Saccharomyces cerevisiae S288C: one gene and its partner. The main gene of each other region encodes a partner of the protein of the gene in region 2 in a complex. Each region holds a gene or a part of one and is shown on either strand. Other genes may lie near its edges. The genes, in order: VID30 and GID7. A codon is read from its position in the direction of its gene.

Evidence for each region.
Region 1: the proteins of GID7 (region 2) and VID30 are in contact, whole or in part, in a cryo-EM structure (PDB 7NSB), measured with the Saccharomyces cerevisiae proteins. Residues at the interface, in NP_009891.1 of Saccharomyces cerevisiae: Ala182 (codon at 1,124), Val185 (codon at 1,115), Leu186 (codon at 1,112), Leu188 (codon at 1,106), Arg189 (codon at 1,103), Lys193 (codon at 1,091), Asp200 (codon at 1,070), Val204 (codon at 1,058), Asp207 (codon at 1,049), Phe209 (codon at 1,043), Leu210 (codon at 1,040), Asn211 (codon at 1,037), Glu212 (codon at 1,034), Ile215 (codon at 1,025), Phe216 (codon at 1,022), Arg223 (codon at 1,001), Ser226 (codon at 992), Thr227 (codon at 989), Leu229 (codon at 983), Thr230 (codon at 980), Asn231 (codon at 977), Pro232 (codon at 974), Lys233 (codon at 971), Ile648, Leu649, Ile650, Gln651, Lys652, Phe654, Arg690; in NP_011287.1 of Saccharomyces cerevisiae: Lys39 (codon at 2,407), Leu40 (codon at 2,410), Lys43 (codon at 2,419), Leu44 (codon at 2,422), Asn46 (codon at 2,428), Lys65 (codon at 2,485), Leu66 (codon at 2,488), Ala68 (codon at 2,494), Lys72 (codon at 2,506), Trp75 (codon at 2,515), Ser76 (codon at 2,518), Met79 (codon at 2,527), Leu84 (codon at 2,542), Thr86 (codon at 2,548), Ile87 (codon at 2,551), Ser88 (codon at 2,554), Phe89 (codon at 2,557), Phe111 (codon at 2,623), Arg114 (codon at 2,632), Phe115 (codon at 2,635), Ile830, Glu831, Ile834, Gln838, Ser841, Tyr846, Ser863, Asn864, Ser866, Ala867.

What each region holds. Positions count from the first base shown.
Region 1 is NC_001139.9:67,379-71,306, forward strand, and holds the start of VID30 (glucose-induced degradation complex subunit VID30), read left to right. Parts: upstream 1-2,292; coding exon 2,293-3,928. Other genes in the region: SHE10 (She10p), read left to right, coding at 220-1,953.
Region 2 is NC_001135.5:50,384-54,311, reverse strand, and holds the start of GID7 (glucose-induced degradation complex subunit GID7), read right to left. Parts: upstream 1,668-3,928; coding exon 1-1,667. Other genes in the region: GLK1 (glucokinase), read right to left, coding at 1,972-3,474; YCL042W (uncharacterized protein), read right to left, coding at 3,369-3,728.

The DNA of each region.
Region 1 (3,928 bases), on a different chromosome or scaffold from region 2:
CTATACGTTTCTATGTATAACCCTAAGATAGTCAGGTTTCGGAAATAAGGCGGATTTCTACGTACATGATGATAATCATGTATCAAAGAAAGGATCAACTTGAAGAACAGCCTTAAAGTAAGCGTAATGGGCATTCTGTTTCAACCACCATTTCTGAAGTACTTTATATCTTGGATGCACAAAAGCTGTTACATCTAAACAAGAACGCAGCGTAACGAAATGGGAAAGCTGATAAAGTTAATCACAACTCTGACGGTGTTGGTATCGTTGCTTCAGTACTGTTGCGAATTCAATAGTGGGAGCATATCGTGTGAACGCACGCAAACGCTTTGCCATTATACCAATCCAAGAGTCTGGAACACCTACTTTTCAAGAAATTGTGAATTATACAAAAATAAAGTTAGTCCCGGTTTCGATATAGTGGCGCGTAAATATGACACGGCTGTCAAACCTGTCATCGATGACGCTACAGTAAAAGTGAACAAGGTCGCTATACAGCCTGCATTCAAGGTCATCCATTCACAATGTAAGAAATGGAACTGTGGAAAGTATTACCAATTGGTCCGCTCCCCAATGGTCAAGACTAGACGATTTTTCTTCGCAAAATACAATGCTTTTGTGAAACCTAACTTAGACAAATTCTTTACTGCGGAGTTTCGCTCTCATTTGAAGGAAAGAATTTTAAAGTATAAAAATATAGGCCATTATTACTTTACTATCACTTCAAGATGCATCAAATCCAAATACGACTTTATTGTTGGTAATACAGAGGAAAAATTAATGGGAAAGTTCAAGAATAAGGACACGCATGGCATTCATGGTTCTGTCACACGTGAGCCTTCCTCGGAGGACATGGTTTTAACCGTAAGTACTATGGAGTCTGACGAAGAGGAGCTAACTACAACAAGTACTCAAACAGTGGTTGAAACAATTACTTTGGACCAGGAAGAGGCTAGCGCTGTTGCTAATCATGCGCACGACGATGAGGCTTCCACAGACGTTGAAGGCTCCACAGACGTCAATGTCAATGAACAGGCTCTGTTGCAAGAGGATTTTGACATGTGGAGTGAGACTATATTGCAGAAAACACAAGACGTCATACAGCTATTTGAAAAGGATGTTTCCAAATACATCAATGGTAAATTGGTTGAGGAGGCCAACCATTTTAAAGCCAAGTTTCAATCTTTAGATGATAAATCTAAGAAGTTCTTCTCCAAGATTTCGCTAGCCATTAACGATATTGAATGTGTGGAAGGCATTGATAGTGAAACTGGCAAGAAAATTTTCTTCGATAAATCTGGAAGTACTGAGATTTCTCAGTACATAACGAGAGAGTTAGTTCGTGAGTACTTCAACGAGACGCGCTCGACGTTAGACGAACTGACAAATGCTATGGAGAAAGATTTGAGCGAAATCACTGATGAAATTGAAAAAAAAGTTAATGCAATTAGAGAGGAAAACGTCGAGGTATTTGAAGAATGGGGTGATATCATTGTAAATGAATGGTCCAAAAGAATGGCTTATGTGGATGTTATCAACGCTCACATGGGTGCAGATGATGACACTACGCTTGATGAAGAGAAAGCAAAGTCTTCTGTTAACTGGAAGAAGTTTTTGAAGGGCAAGAAACAGATCATAGAATCTAGAGACAAGCTGGCTCACCATTCCGCTGACTTATCCCGTGTTAACGCGTTTAGGCAAAAAGTGCAAAAGAAGATATTATCGTTCACTCAAGAGAGTGGTGAGTTTTTGTATATTCTAAGATCGAAAGCCAACCTGCAATTTCAGGAACGTGAAAGAAAGGAACGTGAAAGAAAAGAGCGTGAAAAAGCTGCAGCAGAAGAGTTCCAAAGGCAGCAGGAGCTATTACGACAACAGGAAGAAGAAGACGAAGAAGACGTATCCTACACCTCTACTTCGACCATCACCACAACCATTACCATGACATTGTGATGAAATTCATGCGCTTGCTATACACACACACACACACACACACACACACACACACAATATCTATCTATATATATATGTATGTTCTTTATTGTTTGTCTTTACCTTTATATATAAACATATATAGCCATATAAGAATATAATATTACCACTCCACTGTATTTTGTATCCTGCCTATTTTTGCTAGATTACAGGACGCGCGAGCCTTTCAGGGGAGGGAACTGATGAATCGATCAACCAAAAGAAAGAGCCAAAGGATTGGACCAGAACTGTTACTGTTATAGCAGAAATATTAGTAGTACGTTAAAGCCAAGCGTCGAATTTCAGCATAATTAAGAGGAAATGTCTGAATATATGGATGACGTAGACCGCGAATTCATTAACTGTTTGTTCCCGAGCTACTTGCTGCAACAGCCTGTGGCTTATGATTTATGGATTTTATATTTGCAACATAGAAAACTCTTTCACAAACTGAAGAACACTAACTTAATCAACGCTGATGAAAATCCCACTGGCGTTGGAATGGGCAGGACAAAGTTAACTGCTTTAACAAGGAAAGAAATCTGGTCTAAATTGATGAATTTGGGTGTTCTAGGCACAATTTCGTTTGAAGCTGTCAACGACGATTACCTGATTCAAGTCTATAAATATTTCTATCCAGACGTTAATGATTTTACTTTGAGATTTGGTGTTAAAGATTCAAATAAAAATTCAGTGCGAGTTATGAAAGCTTCCTCAGACATGAGGAAAAATGCTCAGGAACTATTAGAACCCGTTTTATCCGAACGTGAAATGGCGCTTAACTCTAATACCAGCCTGGAAAATGACAGAAATGACGATGATGATGACGATGATGATGATGACGATGATGACGATGACGATGACGACGACGACGATGAATCCGATCTGGAAAGCTTAGAAGGGGAAGTGGATACTGACACGGACGATAACAACGAAGGAGATGGCTCTGACAATCACGAGGAAGGTGGAGAAGAAGGAAGTAGAGGAGCTGATGCTGATGTGTCCAGTGCACAGCAGCGTGCCGAAAGGGTTGCGGACCCATGGATATATCAAAGATCTAGATCAGCTATTAATATAGAAACAGAATCAAGGAATTTGTGGGATACATCTGACAAGAACAGTGGTCTACAATACTACCCCCCTGATCAGTCTCCAAGTTCTTCCTTTTCTTCTCCTAGAGTATCGTCTGGTAACGACAAAAATGACAATGAGGCAACAAATGTTTTGTCCAACAGTGGTAGCAAAAAGAAAAACTCAATGATCCCTGATATTTACAAAATACTTGGGTACTTTTTACCTTCTAGATGGCAAGCTCAACCAAATAACAGCTTGCAGCTATCTCAAGATGGTATTACTCATTTACAACCTAATCCTGATTATCACTCATACATGACTTATGAAAGATCAAGCGCTTCTTCTGCCTCTACCAGAAATAGACTGAGAACCTCTTTTGAGAACTCTGGGAAAGTGGACTTTGCAGTCACTTGGGCAAATAAGTCATTGCCAGACAATAAGTTAACTATATTCTATTACGAGATTAAAGTTCTCAGTGTAACGAGTACAGAGAGTGCTGAAAATAGTAACATTGTTATCGGATACAAGTTAGTAGAGAATGAATTAATGGAAGCGACTACAAAAAAGAGTGTTTCTCGTTCAAGCGTGGCCGGTTCTAGTAGTAGCTTAGGTGGTAGTAATAACATGAGTTCCAATAGAGTACCTTCTACTTCTTTCACTATGGAAGGTACTCAAAGGCGTGATTATATTTATGAAGGGGGCGTTTCAGCCATGTCTCTTAACGTGGATGGTTCCATAAATAAGTGTCAGAAATACGGATTTGATCTTAATGTATTTGGCTATTGCGGATTTGACGGTTTGATAACTAATTCTACAGAACAATCTAAGGAATATGCTAAGCCTTTTGGTAGGGATGACGTTATTGGTTGTGGCATAAATTTTA
Region 2 (3,928 bases):
TATTTATCGTCATAGCTGATTTTCACGTCGTGCACACGTGGAAAGGTTTCGTCGTCCTCCACATATTGCCAGTTACCATTGCTACTTGTTGGTTTGTAAAGGACTTTTGCAGGATCGATTGATTTTCTCCCAGAGATGTTTTCATCGTGGCCCAACGCGATACAAGTCCTGCCTTTTAAGCTAAAAAGTGACTCTTTCGTGGTGAGTGAGTGTACAATAGCTTCTCTGTCGGGCGATCCAACCACCATCCAGCCCGCACGTTCCGCAGTGTGGAAGGCATCGCAGCACCATACTCTTGATTGATTAGAATTCGCGTTTGCCGGCCTCGAGGAAGATGATGCTGATGATTCGGTATCATCTGGGTACGTGGTGGTGTCCAGTTTAAACGAGTCCATGGGCGAGAGCCTGGTAGAAGGGTATAGTAGGAACGAGTCTGTGGCAGACGCATCGGGCAGGGAGGTGGCATTCATGTCGTAAATGGTAACATCTTCGCTGAAAGGGCAAGCAACCAGATACCGGCTATCAGGAGAAAACATGAGGTACAATACGGATTGTGACAAGCTCACGCAAGTCTTATAAATTTTGAAGTCTTGTTCCACATCATAAACAGTAATGAAGTAGCCTCTTGAAGACTCGGAAGTCGCAGAAGCCAAATACTTGCCATTGGGCGAAAATGTCAAAAACCAAATTTCGTCTGTGGTGTCTTGGATAGTCTTCCATTCTTGAAAGGTCACAGTCAGATCGTGTGAGAAGTTATCCTGCAAAAGGTTGATCCGGTGGGGTGGAGAGGAGAAAGAGGCGTCATCATCCGGATCGATGATATTAAAAATGTCTTGTGATTGTTGATACTTGATGGCCTGTTTCAAGAGATGCAAGAGACGACCCTTGGGAACGAGTTCGTTCGGATCGATATATTTGGAGATGGCGTCAATCAGATGGTCTCGCTCGAGGTTCAACTGCGCGGTTAGTTTTGGGTTGGTCAGGTACGTCGACAGTTCTCTCAAGGTCGTTTCCGGATTGAAGATGTTTTCTTCATTTAGGAACTGATCGTTAGACACCAGCAGGGAATCCCATATCTCGATGAAGTTTTTGAGGATTTTGCGCAAATACAGGACGGGCAGTGCAGTGTGAGGGCCCTTGTGAGAGGCGGAATTTGTGACTGGATGGAAGAATTCGAGGAATATTTGTCTATTAACTAGAATCATGATCTCTACGTAATTTCTGAGCGTGGCGATCTCTGCGTCCGAACAAGTAGATGAATTTACAGAGCTCATCAGCTGTTGCAGGTATTGCAGTTGCAGGAGCATGTGGTCGAAAAGTGAAGTCGTGGCGGGCGTCGGCGTGGGAATGAGCAGCCTTTGAAGCCATTCGGACCTTAGCGGAGAGCTATGGGCAAGGGGCAGCGAGCAAACAATCTGCCAATTAATAAGATGGAATTGGCCGGTCTTGATGAGTTTGAAGAAAGTCTGGATGTGGTTAGACTCATTTTGATATCCGCCGCTCTCTAGCAGTAACTGGTTAGCGGCGGAGTCGTAGCCCAGCTCCTTTAGAGTATGTATCAGTAATTTAGTGAGCTGTTTCTTGTCAAAACAACCAACGGAAGAGGGCGAGGCTGTTTCCTCCGTGTCATTGTTCAACACGTATGCGATCTTATTAGTGTGTGACATTTTATTAGTTGAAGTAGTACGCCCCCTTGGAAGTGTTTTTCATATTTGACTTCCAAAAATGATAAAGGAAGACCTAGCAAGGCATTTATTGTTCTTCATTTTCCCTTAAAAACCAAAGGCCCGTTTCCGATGATATTGTTCATTAATGTGAGAAAATCATACATACATACATACGTTCTTATACGGTATTGTATAAGAATGTATGTATATACACTGAAAATATACATATATATATATATATATAAAGGAGAGAAGATGGTAAGTACGGTGGGATACGTACACAAACCAAAAAAATGTAAAAAGATCATGCTACAAGCGCACACAAGGCGGCACCCACTCCGGAACCATCCTTGGCAATCTTCAAGTGCACCTTCCTCTCACCCTCGGCACCCAAGGGTGACAAGGCTAAGGCGTGTCTCAGCATAGATCTGAAACCGGGGTAGTATTCCACAACGGAACCATCACAACCGATCTCGACTTCACCATGATATCTCTTGTTCAAAGCATTTGTCTTGATCAATATCGCGGCAAGCGGCACGGCGGCTAAATACGCAGATCTCCTAGAAATCGCGCGCACCAATTTTTGAATTTGAACACGCTCTGTTGGAGTGGTGGGCAGTCTGAGACTCTGTAATAATGACAACTCTGTTTCACGTAGACCTGTCGAGTCGTCAATTTCAATATGCGACAGCACTTCGGATGACAACTGGAAAGGTGTAGTCAAGTGGCGAGGAAGTTGTTCCTTGGACCTGTACTGTTGCAAAAGCAAGCCTTGCGAGTGCAAGTCCACTAAAATGTTACGCAACACCTCACCCAAGAACATCCCTGAGACACGTTTTTCAAACAAGTGAAATCCCGGGTTCGTTGACAGTTTCTGGTCAATTACGACGTCATACTTAGTAGTAGGCAAGTGCTTGAGCTCATTATCGAAGGACCCCCATTCGACATTGATGATCATGTGTGTCTTACCCTCCTTTATCAACTTGTCACGCAACTCCTGTGGCAACTTCGTGATCTTGTTGATCTCCTCCATATAGCACCCATTGGTACCGGTACCGAAAATACATCCGATGACCGGCTCCGAGATTTCTCCGGACGTCATTGAGTCCGTGTTATCGGACGTGTAGCAATGCGATAGGTACGTTCCGACGGTGTCGTTGGTTAATGCAACAACCTTGATCATAGGCATACCCTGAGCGCTTAATTGCTCCTGGTACAATTGCACGACATCCTTTCCGACGGTGTCCGCGATGCGGAAACCCTTGGTCCAACGGATCAATGTCCCGGAGTTTAGAGAGGTCTGGTCTACAGGGTATGAGAAAGTGAACCCCAGTTTCATGGGCTTGGCGTCTTTACCCTTGGCCAACTCGTCCGGGTGATACTTCTTCATAAAGGCCAGTGTACGACGTGCTAGAAACCCAAACAGGTCGTCAGATGTGACGTTCTCATCGTCTAGCAAATCATCGGGAATCTTGGACTTCATTTGCTCCATGGAGAAAGTATGATCTCCATGCAAGTTAACAGAACATATACGGAAATTGGTACCACCCAGGTCGGCGGCTAGTAAAACACCGCGCTCCGTCCCGTTGGGTGACCCGGTGACGAACGCCGGAATCATAGGAAGACCTTTGTCCGAGGCCAATGTGTGGCCTTCCTTTGGTGGAGCTAGACCTTTTTCCATTTGTTCGATGAAGTAAGCAGTTAATTCGTCCAGCTTCTCGGGGGTAACCTCGAAATCGTCGCAGATCTGGTCCACGGCCTGGATGACCGCTCTCTCAGTGGCTTTGTGTAAGTCGTCGAATGACATCTTGTGTATGATAGAGTTGTATTAGTGGTGGTGTTGTGGTTTACGGAAGCTGAGTTGGGCACTGATGGGGGGGTTGGGGGTTCTGTTGATAGCGGATATTTATATGGGCGCGTTTTCATTAGTGCCCACCGTTTGAGCGTGGTGTGACACCACGCCCAAGATAGGGGGCCCCCTGAAAGGGGTTGACCGTCCGTCGGCACACCACTTATAATGCGGGGTGCAAGCGCCGCGTCTAAAATTTTTTTTTTTTCCATTTTTGTCGTTATTGTTATTTCCCGTTTTTTGTTTTTTTTGATTTTTTCGGAGCGACAAACCTTTCGAAACACGTGTCCTGAAAATTATCCTGGGCTGCACGTGATAATATGTTACCCTGTCGGGCGGCGCCTCTTTTTCCCTTTTCTCTCACTAGTCTCTTTTTCCAATTTGCCACCGTGTAGCATTTTGTTGTGCTGTT